2 linked regions of the Tamandua tetradactyla genome follow. The protein of the gene in region 2 interacts with the protein of the main gene of each other region in a pairwise test. Links are inferred from orthologs where the notes say so. Each region holds a gene or a part of one and is shown on either strand. Other genes may lie near its edges.

Region 1 (9,969 bases), on a different chromosome or scaffold from region 2:
TTATATTGTATTAAAGAATTCCACAAATTATTAGAAAGTCATTATTCATTTTACTTTCACTAGCATTTTTCTTAACTAAGAATTTGGCAGAAAAAAGCAAAGGCAAGTGCAGCTACTGTATGGGGTAAAAGTCATGAAGATAAGATCTTCTTCTGTACACGAGGCTTCCTTGCTGTGGCAGAACCTGATGGGTGCATATATTCACCAAGCGTTGAGTCAGGGGCCTGTTTTCAGGACAGGATGATATATGAGTAGAGCTGGACTCCTTTGTGTTCCAACAGACAAGGCTATTGACAATATTCCACTAATGAAAATTCTGTTTGCCATTACCAAGTCAAGAGTAATCATTCACTTCAAGTAGGTTTCCAGCCTTCATTAAATCCATCGTATCCAGGAGTAAATGATTATGAGTATGAATCACAAGGTATATTTTCCTGTTTTGGGAATCCTGGATTTTATAGCAGGGAGCTGAATTAAATGGATGTTTAATGACAGCATGTTTATGCTTGTACTTTATGTGATCACACCCTCTTTGGGCCTTGCAAGCAGCCTAGAGAGGAAGGTACTGCTAGTGTCATTACTACTAATTTATTTTGCGGATAAACTGGTTGACTGACTTGCCAAGGAGCATGTAGATAGTGCATTATTAGGCAAGAGCCAAGTAAGACCACGATAGCATTAACTGAAAGCTTGTGGAATGTAGGGAGAATGTAAAGATGTATAGAGTTCCCCTGGTAATTAACACATAGCCCTGGATGCAATCTGTGCTCAATATAAAGTGAATGAATGCAATAATCCTAACATTTTAATTTGGGAATTGAAAGACTTGACCTAAAAATTAAGGAAAGACTATTAACTGTGTGGTTTTCTTCCTAAAAATGGAGATGATTAAAACTGCCCATGTTTAACCTGTTTTACTGGAGGTCAGAATGATAAATATAACAATATAATTATCTCTTTAATGTATATCTGGCATCTTTCTCCAAAGTAATTCAGACTACTTCTACTCATGATGTCTTCAAAATTGTAAAGGGAAATTCTCAAGTTGTTCAAGAAAAATGGATGAAAAATTAAGGTATTATTATTCCTGAGATATTCTTTAAAGTGTCTAGTTGTTTTACTTAAATCACCAGAAAGTTGATTAAATTTCATTTCTGATCCCCAAATTCTAAGATATCAGAGTTGTTCTAGTAGTTGAGGAGGAAATTTATGAGATTTAGTGGCCCAAGTAGGAAAACTATGAATTTCTGGATAGCAAAGGATGAATTTAAGTATTATTTCCAAGCTGAACAGTCATGTACTTAGGTCCTAAATAATTTCTCAAATGTCTCTCAATCTGTCTCTTCTTTTCTCTGGAAAAATGGAGTAAATGAAGGGGGTGATGACTCAAGGGGCTAAACAGTTAAAAAAAAAAAAACTAAGAATAGCTTCAGTAGTGCAAGGAAAAAGGTTAAGTCTTTATTTTCTGATCAAATAAAAAACTCCACATTTTTTTTCATAGAGATCTGAAGACAGAAATAATATCTCTCTGAGAAAGCTGGTATTTATTGCTTTTGTTTTTAAGTGCCTAACTTGATTCTGTCATGTCAAGACAGAGAGGAGAATATCAAGTAGCACCTAATATCTGCTTTTTAATCTCTGTCACCGTCACCCATTTCCATCCTGTTTCTACAATGGTTATCTTCTACATCAAAACATCTTCATTTCCCATAAACCCAGGGATAAAAGTCAGCAATGCTCAAACATTAGAGAACACACATTCTCTTTTCAGGCCTTTTTTTAATTTTTGTGGCCGGGGGGGGCGGGGCATAGGACTGCAATATTGGGGAATTGTGCCAGATTTTGAGATTCTGGGTTTACTTCTCCTTTCTAGTATTATCTATGTGAAACCTGGAGAACTTGCTAATAATTCAAATTCCTGGGCTCTACCCAGAAAGTTTTGAGGAACCACGAGGAATCTGTATTTTTAACAAGCACCTGAGGTGAATCTGATGCATATTCTTTGAAAAAAATAAACGCTGTCATCATCCGTTCTACTCAATTGGCATTTTCCAGTTTTCAAAGTGCTTACACATACATATTCAGTTCTGTGAGGTAGATGGGAATGATTATCACTATTCTGAGGATGAGAAAACAGACTCAGAGTTTAGCAATGATTTCCTCAAGGCCTCCTTATATTGCTCTTGGCTATTTCTCTGCATACCGACCCTTAGCTGACCTTTCTGTTTCTTCCTTTTCCTTGAAAAAGGAAGTCCTCAAATCCAGCCAGTGCTTTCTTGCCTGCCTTGCTCAACAATGAGACAAGTCTTTGGGGTGAAGGAAAATAATTTTATTTGTGAAATGTGGACGTTTCCCTATTTCATATACCTATATTGGTCACTAACCCCCCTTCCCTTATCTAGATGTGCTTTAGAAAACGTGTTCTGCTTCACTTTTGGAGAAAAAAAGAAATGTACCAATCTATTTTTATCTATATAGCTTTTTCACTTGTCTTTTTATGTTTTGTTACAATCCGGAGAATGAATCTCTTATCCTCATTCAGCTACACTGAACTGCTGCAGGGGATGTGTGTGTCCCCATTGACAATTGGGATTCCCCTCTCCCCTGGGGCCCCTTGCCTGTTTCATTCTCCTCCCAGCTGTCTTCTCCATGAGCCCCTGTCTGCCACCCTCTGAGACTGCTTTTTCCAGCTGGCAGCCTGGAAGCTCCAGGCCCCCAGACACAGTGTTTAAACCATATAACCTCATATACTTCAATCCTTCTCATTGCCCAAGTGAATCTAGGCTAAGTCCACAGTTTTGTGGCTACTGAGCTACCGAGAATGGATCCCACATTCATTTTCAGTAGCTTCCTGGACCTGCATTTTCTTTTTCTTTTTTTGCGCTCTAGTAGGGTGTATCCAGCCCACACCTGTCTCTGCTTTAAATCACCTGTTTAATCCTTTATCACCCATTTTTTGGGCATTAGCCAAGATGCTCAGAGATATGACTGTGAATAAGGAGGGGTTAGGGATGTTTGAAGACAACTGATTGCAATCAATTGTAAATATAACTATTAGTCACTCCCATACCTTGGCATGAATGAAAGTGGTTATACCTTTTGCATTAAGGAAATCCTTCATGCTGCTTTTTAACTTTGATTGTAAATTGTCTCCTCTGCTGAGCTTTCCACAAGATCCAGCTGTTAACACAAGCACTTCTAGAGACCTAATTGCACTCTAAAGCTGGTTATCGACTGCCCTTGCCCAAGTCACCTTCCCAACCAAACCTCATTCCCCCTTCTGTGCAGGGCACTCAGTCCTTTGTAGAGACCTAGTGTGCTTTGGATCATTACAGAAAGCACCAAGAAATCTGGGTTCCAACATTTTCCCCTATTTCAAAATGAGCTGAAAGTGGGGTCCAACATGAGGGCCTAAGAGACCACTGCTACTTTCTCCAGTGTCCACTGCCTTCTTTCCAAACCAGAGAATTCTACGGTGCTCCAGCTTACTGGAAAGAGTGTGGATCGTGTTCTCTCGGGACCCCGACCCCTAACTCATTCTTTTATGCACACAGTGTCGATTAACCAGTCTGTAGTTGTGTTTTCTCTTGGGGGAGGGACTGGATAGAGCGGACCCAAGCTGCAGTTACCTCGCTCTGCCTCTGAGAATTTCTCATCCAGACCTCAATCACGTAGGATTGCGTAGAGAGAAGAAAAGGGGAGAGACAGAAGACGGGGAGGAGGGGAGGAGGGGAGAAGGGGAGGAGGGAAGGAGGGGGGAGGGGAGGAGGGGAGGAGGGGAGGAGGGGAGGAGGGGAGGAGGGGAGGAGGGGGGAAGAGGGGTGAGGAGAGGGAGGAAGGAGACGGAGTCTGCGAGTAGAGGGCGCAATCAAGGGAGGAGGACCCGAGCGCGCTGCGCTCCCCTGCGCTTCGCTGAGCTCCGGGAGCCCGCCTCCCAGCCCAGCCCCACCTGGGTGCTCGCACGCTTTCCCGCGAGTCGGCAAGAGGCGCAAGAGGAACTCCAGAGAACGCCAGCTCACCGTCCCACCTGCCGTCTCCGTGGCGGTCGCCTCCGCCTGGAGTTTCCTGCGGGTAGCGCTCAAGCCTGCGAGCCCGCGGGGCGGCGGCGCCAGGGAGCCGGTGAGGCTCTGCGCGCCCAGAACCTCAGCCCATGAATGGGACTCAGCACTGAGCGCCCCCTCCCGGATCTGGGGAGGCGGCGGCGCTCCGGTGGGAGGCGCCCCCTGAGCCCTTGGCTCTGAGTGGCCGCCCGCGCAGCAAGTTGGGCGAGTTGGCGGCTGCCCCCACCTGCCTCTTAGCTCCGGCCCCCAAGTCTGTGTCGGGCTTCGAGGGCCCGGGTCGCACTTTCAGCCGCCTCTCGCAGTCGTCCGGAGCGGCCTAGGGGCCCCACCTGCGCCCCCGGCGCCAGACCATGGTGGGTAGCTCAGGCCCGGAGCCGCAGCCGCCGCGAACCGACGTCGCCCGCAGCAAGCCCCGGCCCCACCCGAGCAGACGCGCGGGTGTTCGCTGCGCGCCGGTCAATTCCTTCCTCCGTCGGGATGGGCCGAGCGGGACTGAATGATCGGCCTTGCGTCGGGCGGGTAATTCCCATCTGATCTGCTGCCTGTGAGCTGCCGACTGCCGGGGCACGCGAGTCTGGGAGGGGGGCCCTGGCAGCGCGGCGATGACCTGATCCCGAGCCCGCCAGGGTGCCCCTTCCCTCCCTCGCTCCCTCTGAGCCGGTGCCGAGACTGGCTCGGTGCGGCGGTCCCTGACCGACCATGGCGGGGAGCTCCAGTTAAAGACGCGTGTAGGTGCCCTGCTGAAGAGGACACCTTCGGCATTGCTGCCTTTTGAGGGGGCTTATTTAAACTACTGAGTCATTCCAGATTTAAGATTCCCTAAATACTCACCAACTGTGCCGGTCTCGTGCCGGAAAGCAAACGGAAAGAGAGAAAGAGCGCCGCTCTCGGGACCCGGCGGATCCCCAGTGCTCGCCTCTGCCGGGTTTCTCCCGGAGGGTGCTTGGCCCTTGAGGATCTCCCTCCCTCCATCCCTTCTTCCGTCCCTCCTTCCTTCCCCCTTTCCCTCTTCCCTCCCACCTCCCTTGCCTCTAGCTCTCTTTGCAGCGCTGCTGGCGGGGAGTCGCGCTGAGCGCAGCTGGAAACAGCTGTCCACTCTCGGCGCCCCTTCCCGACTCTGGCTAACCGCTCCCACTTCGCGCTTCTCGGAATTCCAGAACTCGGGTTGCCGGACCCTGGAGAACCGCAGCCGGTCCGATGCATTCTGTAGACTTCACCCAGCCGGGACCGACCGCCTAATCTCCAGAACTGCGGCCCGCAGGGAGTTAATTTGCTGCCTTCCTACCCTTCTCTCTTGCGGTTGGTGGCTTGTTTTCTAGAGGAACGTTTTGTTCACTTTTTAGTATTTTCTACCGGGGATACGCTACCAGCCTCGGTCCAGACACTGCTTTCTAAACGGGTTTTATATGTATGTTTGTGTAGAAATACTTTGGACACCATACAACGCTTGCGCCTCACCGAACAGGGGCACAGCTTGTTATTTTGGACATTTCGTCTTCCCCTTCCACTTGGTACCCCGAACGCAGTGTGACCAAACTCCTCACTGCCCTTTGGACGCGGATCGCCTTGGGGTGCAAGCCTCTAGTTCGCAGCAAGGCTTGGGACCGCCCCGTCCCTGCCGCCAGCGGTCAGGGAAGTTTACATCTGGATTTTCACACATTTTGTTGCCACTGCCCAGACTCTGACTAACCTTGTGGGCGCCGGGTTTTCGGTACTGCGGCCTGTTCGAATATTAGCACTGCCTCCCGGCCGCCTGCCCTGTCCCTTCGGGCCGCCGAGGTTCTGCCCTCGCCCCGACTGAGTGCGTTCCCGAAGGCGCAGCGGAGCCGGGGGTCTGGGGCGCACGCTCAGCAGCCATGGCTGCGGCGATAGCCAGCTCCTTGATCCGGCAGAAGCGGCAGGCGAGGGAGTCCAACAGCGACCGGGTGTCGGCCTCCAAGCGCCGCTCCAGCCCCAGCAAAGACGGGCGCTCCCTGTGCGAGAGGCACGTCCTCGGGGTGTTCAGCAAAGTGCGCTTCTGCAGCGGCCGCAAGAGGCCGGTGAGGCGGAGACCAGGTCAGTAGAAGCCCGGACTATCGGCTCCCCAGAGGCTGACACCCTCTCTCCCCTTCCGCAAAGCACCTGGGGGCACCCGTGGAAAAAGATTTCCCTTTTCCATTCTGATTTCTCTTTACCCCTGATTTCCAAACATCTCTTTCAACCACCCTCTGCCAGTTAATAGCTTTTCTTCCCATATTCAGGAAAACATTTTCTACCTTGATTTTGGAATTTGATTAGGATGAGAGTTAATGTCCCTTGTCCAAAATAGCCTGTAGAGTCCGTGAGGACAGTGATCACCTACCTTTCTTTCTTCCTCCCATCCATCCTTCCTCCCATCCTTCCTTCCTTCCTTCCTTCCTTCCTTCCTTCCTTCCTTCCTTCCTTCCTTCCTTCCTTCCTTCCTTCCTTCCTCCCTTCTTTCCTTCCTTCTCTTTCTTTCATTCCCATCCAAACGTCTATCCTTCTGCCCATCAATCCATCCATCCATCCATCCATCCATCCATCCATCCATCCATCCATCCATCCACCATCATGCTTAGTACTCTGAAGATCTAAATATCAAACTTCCTTCCTTTATCCTGTATAATAGTATAGTTCTTCGCACATAATAGGCACTTACCAGACACTAGATGAACATAAGTTTAATTCTCTTTCACTGACTCTTTCTTCGGCAACAGGGCATTACATCTTTCAGACATCTCAGTCAATTTCTCACGTCCCCATTTTTCCACATACCCTTTTCACTTCCTTTTCCACAGACCTCCTTTTCCCTATTCTATTTTTCCAACCACTCTCATGGTTTCCAAACGCTTTTCTCATTAATCCTCTGCACACTCACTTACTTTTGGGACAGTAAGGGAGCAGCAAAGTATTTGCAGTTTGACTGTGTAAAGAAAACTTCAGAATTATTAGCTACTCTGATGGTCTAGCCTTTTTGAAGCTGATTCCCTCTGTGGCCCTAAACCCAAATGGTTGGTCTATGATAAAGTACTGTTTATGAAGAGGGACTGGATATCTTGAGTTTCAGCATGAATATCCCTAGTTCAAGGCAGGCCAGTTCTCCTGCTTGCAAGAATGAAAACAAAATTGTAGAGGCCTGTTTTTCCACCAGATATTGTTGTTCCTTCTGGGTGTGGCTGCAGGGTCATCTGCAATCTGCAGATATGTTACACATCCTGTGGACAACTGAAAGGAAATATTGTCTGAAAAAGCAGCCTGCTCTGTGATTAGTTGACTGGCTTAGTTAGCTGCTTTGCACGTCTGATTATGGTGTTCTCTTGGGTTCCAAGAGTGAGGCCCATGAACTAGATTCATTGGGGAATCATTTAGAAAATCTGGATGAGGGGTTTAGATTTAGTTTAGAAATTTGGGATTAGGTTTTGTGGAGAAGACTTCTTACCTCATTTGTGATTGGTCTTTCTTGAGATTATTTACGCCATCGTGGGCTCATTTTTGACAAATCTCTTTCTTTTTCTTTTTCTTTTTTTTTTGCGTGGGGAGGCACTGGGAATCGAACCTGGGTTTCTGGCATGGCAGGCGAGAACTCTGCCACTGAGCCACTGTCGCACCACCCCTGTGGGCTCATTTTTTAAATTCTTAATTTGTGATGGTGATACAATAGTTAATTTCAGGAATAAACAAAAATAATTATGATCTGGTAGTGACCCAAGACAGGATCTACTTAATTCTCTCTTGTTTTACATCCAATTAATATAGCCTGCTTATTTCATAAAGTAGCAATTTATGCAAAGAACTAGAGTTATCTCTACAAAATAAATAATTAATATTAGGGAAAATAAAATCCTATATTTGTTTCACAGGGATCTCAGGGCTTATGTAGTGTATAAAGAATTTCAAGGCTCTGAATTCGATATGACTCTTGCTTCCCAGTTTGTGACATGTGTTCTTGCACTCTAGTTGGGATACTTCTATGTGAGCAGTTATATTGTGCGCTTAGCCTCCTCACCTGAAAATAAGGTACTAAAAATGATAGGTGGATTATATTCTTGAATGGATAAACTCATCTGGTCTTTTAAAGTTGATTTGGAAATGAGCAATTCTCATGGCTTAATTTTGCATGATTGGGAAGGACTATATTAATTGCTTCCTGCGGCCCTTTCCTTAGCAACTTATTGGAAATTAGAAAATTTGAAGGCATTGCTGAGTTTTCTTCCATGTTCATGTAATCTGCTCCTCTTTTTCATCTATTTAATGTGCGTCTTGGCAGAGAGAATCTTGACTGGTGATTCCCCTTAGCTGAAATATCACATGCCAATCCAGCAGAGAGATGGCAGGAACTGTTATGACATGCCCACTGCAAGGGCATCATGTATGTACCTATACACCACGGACTTCAGGCTGTTCTGAGGCTTAGCTTAGAAAAATAGGAGTGTGGGGTGCAGAAAAGCTTTTTGGGAAGATGATAGTGTGTCATTATTGCTACTAACAAAGCCAAATAATTAATCTGTTGATTTGCTGTCAGCAACCATGATTCACATAGCAAGGGATGAACCTATTTATAGAAGGATAGCACCTTCCACTTCTTAATTCCAAAGAGGAATCTTTAGCTGGATTGGGGTAATGTTGCTAAATACCGAAAAAAAAAAAAAAGTTGAAGAAAACCCATTTGAGGGAATCTGTTTTTTAAGCACTTCTATGGTCATTTAATATTCGAGTTATTTTTGAAATCACTAGCCCTTCTAAACCACATCCTTGTGAATTACAAACTGAGTCACAGTTCATCCTGATAAAGAATTTGCCTTCTGAATTTCTATCCTTAAAACATACTTTTCTCTGACTAGACTTTATAAGGAAGTGAGGCTGAAGCAGTGAGGCTAAACTAAGGGTAAGATGGGATTTGTGTGGTTGTATTTTTTATTTCAGTGCTGACACAGTGAGTGTCTCTCAATCTCTTTTCTTAGTTCACCAAGTTCTAATATGTGTAATGTTGGAATTTTATTAACACAGCAGGAATATTGAAATTATGATATAGGGCTCAGGTTTTAAAATCACAGTTCATGGAATTAAAATGTGAGTAATGGCAGGTCAGCATCTCACCTTGCACGTTGGCTCCAGGGCCCCATGCATGCAGGCCTGGTTTCATGAATGCCATCCCTGGGGCTTAAAGTGATAGTGCAGACTGGGATTGGTAGCAAAATCCTTACCTTTGTAGATGAGAAACCCTAGAACTGCAGCAAGTTCGTGGTTTACACAAGGCCATATGGCTTGATTGTGGCAAAAGTGGGTCTAAAATTGGATTCAGTTGATTCTCTTTGTCTGTGCTCTTCCCAAAACAACACAGAAAAGTAGTATGAAGAACTGGGCATCCTCTGTCAAATGACAGAAGTAATTTTGCATTTGTCTTTTCTCATTAGGGAATGAGCTTATTATGATCATTTTGTAATTAGAGCAAGAATAGTGCGGAATGCTGGAGGTGACTCTTAGGAGGAGGCATAGGCTAAATCCAGCAATTGGAGTTCTAAAGCTACCACCCTATAGCTGGCATTCATTTTGGAAGTGAATCCAATAGTCAAGACATAGCAGATAACAGGCACTGCCTGTTTAAATGAAATGCTGGGGACCCAGAACTGGCAAGATGGCTTTGGTCATTGAACCATGAAAAGGCTTTAGAACAATCCTGTTTGTTTATTTTCTAGTAAAGAAACGAGCATTTCTCTGGTCATGATTTCAGCTGCTATTTTTTGTGTGAAATACTTGTGGGGGCAAGCCCTGCTAAGATATTTGCTTAAATGTTGATGCCACTGCATTTGCTGTATCAAGGTTATTTGCACATCCTTATGAATTGGATGGCTTCTTCATTTCCAATGTTTGCTTTATTTTTGAGTGGAGACACTGTGCAAATAATTGA
Region 2 (10,339 bases):
TAAGCATGTATATAGTCCATGCAGTCCCACGTTATAGAACAAATCAGAGTTATTTATAACCATTTTAACCACTTCTTTATTAAGAATGAAAGTTTATAATATATAATTTGAATGCTTCAAGTAATGGTGTTTTCACCTTCAGCTTCCCACCTTCTGTCCTTTGGGTAATTCATCATAAAGCTCCCTGTGCTTGATTAGAGAATGCATCAATGAGATAAAAGTCTTAGTTGTTGAGGAAGGCAGGGGTTTGGAAAAGAGAGGGGAGACAATGGATGAGCCATCAAAAGCCAGAAGTTGGAACACTAAGCAAGGAGGGGTAAGGAAGTCTTTGCTTAAGGTAGTTGAGGTTTATCTGCTAAGTTGATTGGTGAGGCCGTGCATCTGAGTTAAAAAGGCTTGAGAGAGTTACTTGGCATAATTTCTCCATCTTCAATGATTTACTACTGAAGTGCAAACATCAATTTTGGACTCTCTCCTGAGAAACGTTTAACAAAGTCAGTGAACTACTGGTACCTTGATATCTTTCTAGATTTGCCAAACTTTGATAGCTCTTTAATAAACCTATGCCTGGAGTTTATCTCTGTCTTTTTTTTTTTTTCTATTAAGGAAACAGATCTACTAGTAAATAGGCAGATGTAAAAATGATCTTCCTCTTTATTTCTCCATTGTGATATATATATCTTAGAATTGTTCAGAAGTGCACTCTATTGTTAAAGCTATTTGTGCCGGGTGTGCTAATGCACTCTTTGATTGAGTGAATTAGCAGTCATAACAATCTGGCAGTCTGGCCATAGAAGTGTGCTCAAATTGATTTGTGTTATGGCTGGACTGGAAAATCTAGTGTTAGTTGTTTTTTGCCCTGGGGCATTGTTTGTACCAAACTCCACTTTTCATTTAATTTTCCAATACATTTCGAAAGATTGAAATGCTTGTGATCAACATTTGATCCAGTTGCATTATTTAAAAAAAAAAAATGTGAAAGTAATTTCAGATTCCAAAAAACCTTGCTTTCAATTAGAGTAAACATAATTAGAGTGACGTCGTGCTCAGAATGGTAAATCTCCCATTGAATCTATTAAACATGTTATCTCCTTGTCCTGTCACTGAAAATAATTCAGTATATATCCGGAATGTACATCTGTATTTTTCTGTGCATGTTTCTAACACAACTTGGGGGGGGGAATTAAAATAATAAAATACTAATGAATCTTTTCTTGTTGCCCTTTCTGCATGTGTCTAAACTGTTTCTGTTTCAGTTAATGATGCTGTAAGAAAAGGATACTTAAAGCTTTTGGGAAAATTTGAGATATTCAAGAAACATGTTTGGATATATTGCCTTTAGGTTACTCGATCATTTTAGTTTTTTACATGCTAGGAAAGCTGCGTTTTCAATCTTTTTTTTTTTTCCTTTTTAAGTAACACTATTAATTACTATATTGAGACCCTGAAGATTTAAAGAAATGACTTATCCTGGCTTTGTCAATATTTGTATCTTTCTTACAATCTTCTGCTTTGCAGGCATTTACCAGAATTATAATGCAGCATGAATAAACCTTAAAACTGACTATTGATTACAGAGCAAGCTTTGCAAAATCATTTAGTCAGTTTCCCCACCTGAGAAATCAGTGAATAAAATAGGTCAATAGATAAGGATAGAATGGATGTAATACAGTGCTATACTTGCTTGGGTTATAAAAAGGGTCAACAATAAGTCACCACAGAATTCATGTTTTTACACTCAATAAAATAAAATGATACTTACCAAATTCCAACTATAAGCCCATCTTTCTAAGGATCTATTCTTCTTTCTTTTAACCTTAGGCTTTGTAAGTATGCTTTTATGTTGTCCTAATTTCAACAGAAGCATTTCCTTGTCATTTCCCCTTTTAACCATTTAGGATGCCCTTATCATCGGACTAAAGTGCTTGTTGTCATCCAGGTATTCACCATGACTTTAGCTGCAACAGCTACTTTGTATTTTCTTACTGTCTCCTGCAACCTTGCAGCTCTTCTCAAACCTGCATTTCAGAATGTACTGAACTCTATCCTGTGCCGATTTTTAAGTAATAGATGGTGAGACCTGAGACCACTCTCTCTTAGTTTCCATCATTCGGTTATCGTCTGGGGGAAGGGAGGGGAGGGGCTAGGAGGGAGGGAAGAAAATACCTTCCCTTAACTGGTACAAGCTCAGCTTCAAACGATATCCTAGGAAAGAAATTAAAGACTTCTTAATTAGTGCAGCAATTAAGCTTTCTTGGTAGCATTTTAATCAGCACAGGCCCTATCAAAGGACAAACAGAACGATTTGCAGGTCTTTGAATTTTAAACAGTCTTATTGATTTCAGCACAATGCATCTTCACAAAACACAAGGAGAATTTTCTAATATCCGTTACAGTACTTTGAGTTTTGCTTATGCAAATTGAGTGAATGCTGGGGAAGGTGAGATGGAGGGAGAGGACCTGAAGCAACTAGATGTAAAATAATAAACAAACAAGACAAAACCCCTGAAAGCTATAGATGCAATGGAAAAGAGTGAAGATTTGAAATCTTTCTTGAGTTGATTTATCTGCTGTTGTTAAATACTTTTTGTCTTAATCATTGGTAACATTTCTCAAAGGAAAAAGAAAAAGAAACCCTGAAGATTCTCAAGGCTTTTCTTTCTTAAATCCTTTCATTTATATTATGCTTTTTTTTCTAATGCTATTGCTTGATCAAAGGGGTAAGTGGTGGTTCCTTGAAATGGTTTATAGACCTAAGGTCTTTTAAACTCCCATAGCTTCTGACTAAGCACGTGCTGGGAGGCACAGGTTTCCCTGCAGTGTAAAATTTGGAGTTTGCTTCGAAGCAGGGTGGGATTATGGTCTGGTCTGTTATCATTACTTCCTGTCTGTGGTTTACAAATGTGGCAGGTATTGGGTAAATGATAATTTAAGGAAATATGATAAATAAGAATGGTAAGGCAGATTTTCAGCATTTAGTTTCCATTTTTTCCCCAAATGTGGGTCTAGAATTTAAACAAGCTGTAGTTTAACGTTTTAGAATTATGTCAGAGTTTTAATAAAGTTGTGCTTGTGATTCCAACATAAGATTAATTTTTCAAGGCTCAATACATGGCAATTTGAGATTATTTTTTAAAAAGATAGTATTTTCTAAAATGTGTATAAATGCTTAAGGAAGTGTTTCGATGGTATATGTTATAAATTGAATCATACTTTTTAATTGAGGACAGAGAAGTGGACTGAAAAATTAATATATATTATTTCTGAATATATTAAAATACATTGGCTAACCTCGTCCAAACAATTGTGTGAACTTTAGTTACACTTCTAGATGCTATTCTACTTTCCTGCAACAACCAATTTTCTGAAATCTTAGATCCCAGAAAAGCCTCCTGATATAACTGCTATGCCCCAAAAAGTTTAGCATAAAACGTAGACAAATTAGTCATGTCATATCTTTCTGTAGATATTTCCTGTAGTTTTTGACACTAAACTTCAAAAGGTTTAAGGAGTTAAAATGATAGAGTTACATGATCATAATTTCAACACCAAATGGCAGAAATTTCATTATGAAATCTCCCAGCACTGTGAATCTGCTGCTAATAGTGTATATTAAATATCTGTCAAATGCTAAAGCATTGTTTAATATCTTGTGTTACTGAACATGTGTAGACAGATTCAAAGCCTAATTATTTAAGATTTCTAGAGATACAAGCAGGGAACAGATTTGACCTATGCTCAAATCATATTTTCGTAAGAAATCCTTGAATAAAATAACACATGCAACAGGTTAGAAAAGAAAGGGAGAGAGGAAAGAAAGGAAGAAGTCAGTCTGAACTCAGCCAAATACTGTTTGTTAAATATAGCTTCCCTTTCTGCCTTTACAAATCAGTTAGTTAGCATTGTTTTTGCTTTCATTAGTTACAAAACACATTTTCACGATATAGTAAGAAGGGATTCCCAAAATATATTGATACTTTTCAATTATGGGGAGAAAAAAAAACTTGTATCATTCAAACAGCACACTGGCAACTACCCTTGGGTCTTAAAGGATAAGGGTTATTGGTTACTGTGCAATACAGGTAAATTAAGCTTAGAATTTTGGGTAAGAAAAACCGGCGTGTTCTTGTTTTCTACTTTTTAAATCTTCAAGGATGTCTCATCTGTTTGGATTGTCATGGCCTAACAGACACTCCTGATCTGCTTTTGAGCCAAAGTGAAGTTATTCTGAACGATCCACATCGTGGAAAGCATTTCTTTCTTTCCACAATCTATAAAGAAATAAAGAATTAAACACAGCGTGTTTCATTATTCTTAAGCAATTTCGGACTTTTTCCCCCCGCAACTTTAAAACTGTCCAATCTGGAATTTCCACTATCTTTATACAAAATAATGTAACAGATAAACAAGCAGATGCATAAAACATACGTTTTGCTTACTTTTCCTCAAATTAATTTCTTAATGATTATGCAGTGAGGGGATGTGTTTCCATTTATATCACGGTGCAAGAACGCGAGGAGATATGTCCTAAATCCTTTAAGAAGAGCTCGGAGCCTTCTGGCTCCTCTTTAAGTTGGGAGGCGATTGCTTAGAAGCTTTAGAAGAAAACTACGAGCCGTCGCGGACGAAACGGAACACAGACATGCAATCTAACGGTAGTAGAAGAGAAGGAAGAGGCAGACAGATGATCTCCCTCTGTTTTCCGAGCGCCACTTCTGAGTCCCTGGCTTGTTCTCTTCGTCCCTCCCACAGTTTCTTTCCTTTTCCCCCTTCTGCCCCCTCCCCCCTCCTCCTTTTCTCGCACGCACGCACACACACACACACACACACACACACACTCTCTCTCTCTCTCTCTCTCTCTCTCTCTGTCTCGCGCTCTCGGAGTCTTCTCCGAGTCCTGGTTGGATAATTTGGGTTAATACTAGTGAGTGAGGTTTTTGCGGCTTCAAAGGGTATTTCAAGTTTCCGGAGCTCCTCCCCTCTGCACCGTGTGACAACAACAACTCGTCCAGCCGGCAGCCTGCACTTTTCAGCTCATTTTCTCTCTGTCATTCACCTCTCAATCTTTGATCAATGTACTTGCCAGGGAGAACGCAAGTCCTTCAAACCTCCTCCTTTTCACCTTCATCCTTAACTTTGTGCTAGAGCGGGACCCACACAACAACAGCCGACCCTCCCCGCCCCCGCCCGCCCCCCCAAACCAGCCCCCGATCCCAGCCCCCGGAGAGGACTCGCATTTCGACTTGCGGGACACTTTTGTGCGTTTCTCTCCAGAGCGCCTCTCGCGCTCGCCCCTCCTGCGCTCGCTCTTTCTCACCTCTTCTCTAGCCTTCGTTCTCCCTTCTCCTCTGGTTCTCTCCTAGAGTTGTTGTTGCCCCCTCGCTCCTGCTCCCCACCCCCTCCCCCTGTTTTTCCTTCCCCTCCCCGGGGTTTGTGGCAACTTTTCCCCTCGCTTCTCCTCCTGTTTCCCCTTATATGTGACCATGGCAGTGCCGGCGGCTTTGATCCCTCCGACCCAGCTGGTCCCCCCTCAACCCCCGATCTCCACGTCTGCTTCCTCCTCCGGCACCACCACCTCCACCTCGTCGGCGACCTCGTCTCCGGCTCCGTCCATCGGGCCCCCGGCGTCCTCAGGGCCAACTCTGTTCCGGCCGGAGCCCATCGCGTCGGCGGCGGCGGCCACAGTCACCTCCACCGGCGGCGGCGGCGGCGGCAGCGGAGGCGGCGGCGGCAGCGGCGGCAACGGAGGCGGCGGCGGCGGCGGCGGCGGCAACTGCAACCCCAGCTTGGCGGCGGCGAGCGGCAGCGGCTGCAGTGGCGGTGGCAGCATTAGTGCTGGCGGCGGCGGCGCCTCCAGCACCCCCATCAACGCCAACACCGGCAGCAACAGCAGCAGCAGCAGTAGCAGCAGTAGCAGCAGCAGCAGCAGCAGCAGCAGCAGCAGTAGCAGCAGCAGCAGCAGCTGCGGCCCCCTCCCCGGAAAACCCGTGTACTCGACCCCGTCCCCAGTGGAAAACACCCCCCAGAATAATGAGTGCAAAATGGTGGATCTGAGGGGGGCCAAAGTAGCTTCTTTCACGGTGGAGGGCTGCGAGCTGATCTGCCTGCCCCAGGCTTTCGACCTGTTCCTGAAGCACTTGGTGGGGGGCTTGCACACGGTCTACACCAAGCTGAAGAGGCTGGAGATCACGCCGGTGGTGTGTAATGTGGAACAGGTTCGCATCCTGAGGGGACTGGGCGCCATTCAGCCCGGAGTGAACCGCTGCAAACTCATCTCCAGGAAGGACTTCGAGACCCTCTACAATGACTGCACCAACGCCAGGTAAAGAACCGGGGGGTAGCCTCCGCCGCTCGCGGCCCCTTCCCGCCCGCCTGCTCGCCCTTCCCTGGCTCCCTAATCGGCGCCGCTCGCTCCGCGCGCCCGCGAGCCGCGCGCCCTGGTGAGCGCAGCCCTCTCCTCCCCTTCCTCCGGGCTCGCCAGCCGCGCCCGAGCGCCTGAGAAGTTGGCACCTCACCCTGCCCAGATCTCGCTCTTCGGGCCCGAGCCACCCTTCGCTGGCCAGGGCTTGGCGGCTGTGGGACGCGCGCACCCCCGACCCTTGGGCCGGAGGGGGCGGGAAGGGGGAGAGGGCGCCTTTCCGGGAGCCACAGCTTCTTTCCGGACGCGCTGGCGTCTGGAGACCCCTCTCCGCGCTGCCGCCGCGTGTGAGCTCCCCGCGACCCGGCTTCCGCGGCGAGCCTCGGGCCCAGGCAGGCTTCGTCGGAGGCGCCGAACGGCGTACGGAGGGCTGGGAGGTCGTCACTAGGCTGGGCTGGGTTCGAAGGGCAGGGCGTCACGCTCCGAGTGAGGGGCTGGCGGACAAGCCGAGCGATTGGACCAAGAGCCGGGGAGGGCACTTCGAGGTCGTGAGGGGAGCGACTTCGGAAGCCGTGAGGCGCGAGGCAGTCCCTGGGCACCCGCAGCCACTTCAACCCCAAAACCCGGAGGGGAAGCCCGCCGAGGGGAGGGGTCTGTGTGTGCGCGCATGTGTGCTGTGCGTGTGTACGCGTGTGAGGTGTGCCTGTGCGTGTGCAAAGGAAATAAAGGGTGTCGTTTGCCCCGGGGCAGAAGCGAGGGCACCAGCAGGTGTCCTTTAAGGGGAGATGACCATGGGGTACTCAAGACTCTTGCAAGCCGCGCTGAAGACGTGGGGAAGAAAGAGGACAGCGGTCTCTCTCCAATTTTATTATTCTTTCTTTCTTTCTTTTTAAAAGGTTGCCAGTAGCTCTAGCAATCGAGCAGGTGCAAGCTTTGCACTGGGAGGCTCTCAGGGGTCTGAGTCCTCCGTGTGGTCGCTTCCCGACCCGCGGAGCGCGCGCGGGGCAGAGACCGCAGGATTGATTCTCCGGCGAGACCAGTTTATGCTAATGAACGCGCTGTGGGGGAGGATCTACCGAGAGGGGGCGGAAGTGGGGCAACTTGTCAGTTTCGGGGTAGAAATGATCTTTCCACCCTTTTACACTTCCTCCTGTCCCCATCGTTCGCTCCTGGGAATCTCAGAGGAAAAAAAAATTAAGATCTCACAGGAGAAAGTGAGGAGGAAAGTTGGAGCCTTGGAGCAAACGGGTGGGACCTGGGCGCAAAATTTGCGGGGACACTCCCTTGCTCTTCAAATCAGATTAAAGACCCAGAGAGTGAACTGTTTTACTCTTTCAGGGTCCGTGTTCCTAGTAAAGCTAGGGTAACAGAGGTGGAAAGGAAAGAGGATTAAAACGACACCAGAAGGAAACCAGGTGAAAAAGCCCCGGGCTATTTTTTACCTTGAAGGGAGATTCCCACCTAGTGCCCAGGAAAGCTGTAAAGATGAAAGACTCCAACTCCGACCCACCAAATGTCCCATCGGAACAATCCAGAAACTTTGTTTCCCGATTTATTTGCTATTCTTTGCAAATAGGGTATGGGTGTGTGTTTGGGCTTTGAACTCGCATTTTTACTATTTTGGGGGTGGATGCTGAGTGTATGTGTATGTGCGCGCGCGCGCGTGGGTTTGCGGTGGCAGTAAAGATCGAGAGGCAATCTTTGTTAGTAATCATTTACTCAGATAATTGGAGTCCTTGGACAACCAGAAGATATTTGCAAAAAAAAAAAAAAAACTATTAAAACTACTCGAATCAGGAAGGAAAACGATTACAGGATAGTTAGAAAGAACGCTAGTTAAAATCTAAGGCCAGTTCAGATATGGTTGTTATAAAATCTTCTACCTATCCAGTAAATTGGTGAAGTGCTCTTTAGTAATCAAAAACTGCACTTGAATCCTCTTTGTGTGTTTCTTACAGCACGTAACTGTACTCGATAATCAATTGGCATTGCACATACCCCAAAAACTTGTTCGAGAAAACTTCCTTCAATGACTGCGACGTTATGACCAATGTAAAACAGGTAGTATTACACCTCTCGCGGTGTAATCCCTTGATCTTTCCCCTTGCAATTTCGTGCTTAGACTGGAATTGAAGTCCTTCCCATAAGGTTGTAGAATATTCTATAAGTTATAAACTAATATTTGAAAAAAAGAAAGACCTGCCCTCCCCCAGGTTAACAATAGCTCTGGAGTTTAAACTTACAGAACTAGAGAAGTAAAATCCACTAGCAGTGTCTACTCCTCAACAATATATCATCACTACTCTGTTTCAATTAGCTTGTCTTAATACCTGGCAATTATATGAGTTCTAAAACCTTATTTAAAGTTATTTCTCAGTTAAAATGTGGTAAATTTGTTGATTTACTATTGCCTTTTGATCTTTTCTTTACTATAAGACTTGCTCATACTTAAATACACACAAATATTGTAGTCGTTAACCTTAGAAGATGCATAGTTGCAGATACCTATCTTTTCCTAACTCTGCTACTGATCTAAGAATAGAAAACTTGTAATGGAACTGCCTCTCACCAAAATGTGCTGCTTGCATCATAATGCATTATTTTATGTTAATTACAAACGTCATTGTCTTATTTCTTAACTTTGAAAGCAACAATCTAAAATGTTTTGCATCTTGAGTTTACAAAAGTAAAATTACTTTTTCCATTAAAAGCTAATTTATATCTTGGCTATTAAGAACCTTTTTCCTTCACCTAGATACATTGATTTCTTTCACTGTGGTTTCTCTCTCCACTTACTGTTTAAGAGACTATCTAAGGGAATAATTTTTGCAGAGGATAAGAGAAACTGCAAAAGGCAAACCACATAGCACTACATATATATTTATTGTGTGTATGTAAGAAACATCACATCTTAACACTCATAGCTTTTCACAGGACATCTATCTAATTATGTCTCATAATAGCATTTATCGGACATTTGTCTAGATGCCAGGGAATCTGAGAAACCAAAATAATGCTTAAAGATACATCCATGAACTTGTTCGAAGTGGTTAAATAAGTTAGGAGCAAACCTTAGAATGGATGTAATTTGCTTGGGACTATTACATCAGTATGCTATCTATGAAAATTAGGATAAATGTTGAAACCATCTGCCATTACCTTGAGGAGATGAAAAAGCAACCATTACCTGCTAGATAGTAAGGCTAAAAGTAATGCTCTTGGAACATGAAAGAAAATGTAATGAAATATATTTAAAAGTGTCAAAGGACAAAGTATGACCTTGCTCAGCTTCCTCCAATTATTATTTTTAAACTAAACATTAGTTGCATGAACTTGGCTGTTGCAATAGAGGTCAGTAAATTAACTGGTAACCATTAAACAACAACAAAAAAAGAAAAGTAATTATATACATGGGCACGTCTGTTTGTATGAGTCAATTGCTTGTTTGTAGAATTGAGTTAGGATTCAATTTTCTGTGAATTCAGGTAATAAGGAGTTACTCTGTTTATTGTTTTACATAAAAAGCTTATTTCTGTGAATATTGCCAGAAGATGGTTTTGTCTCAAGATCTTTCAAAGCAGATTGTGATTTGGGTCCTATGTAGCCCAAGATATATGGAGTTATTAATGTTAATAGATACCAGTTACTTTTATCGGACATTTACATGTACATAGCTATATTCACAAAGAGTATTTGTCTTTTAAGTAGATGCCATCCATGGATAGCAAATTGGAAAACTTCCCAAATCTTGTGTGTTCTGTAGTAACATATGAATCCAATTTTAGGACAAGAGGTACAAAATATTCTCCAACTCTTGACTCTATTTTTTTTAAACTAACTTTAATTAGATGGCAAATTTACTACTCTGTATTTATTTTGTATTTCTACTGTTGCATGCATTTTATGCATTGGTATAGAAAGTTTCAAAGCGAATACAGATTCACTTTTAATAGATAATTATGATGGTTGGAACAGAGAATT

What was found. The genes of interacting proteins can lie anywhere in the genome.
Region 1: the proteins of DACH1 (region 2) and FGF12 interact in binary tests that used the Homo sapiens proteins (3 or more experiments, as listed by UniProt). The two-hybrid records come from large-scale screens. The link is inferred for Tamandua tetradactyla from reciprocal best matches to the Homo sapiens genes DACH1 and FGF12.

The regions. Positions count from the first base shown.
Region 1 is NC_135336.1:12,089,039-12,099,007, reverse strand, and holds the start of FGF12 (fibroblast growth factor 12), read left to right. Parts: upstream 1-5,902; 5' UTR 5,903-5,917; coding exon 5,918-6,116; intron 6,117-9,969. UniProt on the Homo sapiens protein: Involved in nervous system development and function. Involved in the positive regulation of voltage-gated sodium channel activity. Promotes neuronal excitability by elevating the voltage dependence of neuronal sodium channel SCN8A fast inactivation.
Region 2 is NC_135330.1:138,969,614-138,979,952, reverse strand, and holds the start of DACH1 (dachshund homolog 1), read left to right. Parts: upstream 1-5,254; 5' UTR 5,255-5,483; coding exon 5,484-6,322; intron 6,323-10,339. UniProt on the Homo sapiens protein: Transcription factor that is involved in regulation of organogenesis. Seems to be a regulator of SIX1, SIX6 and probably SIX5.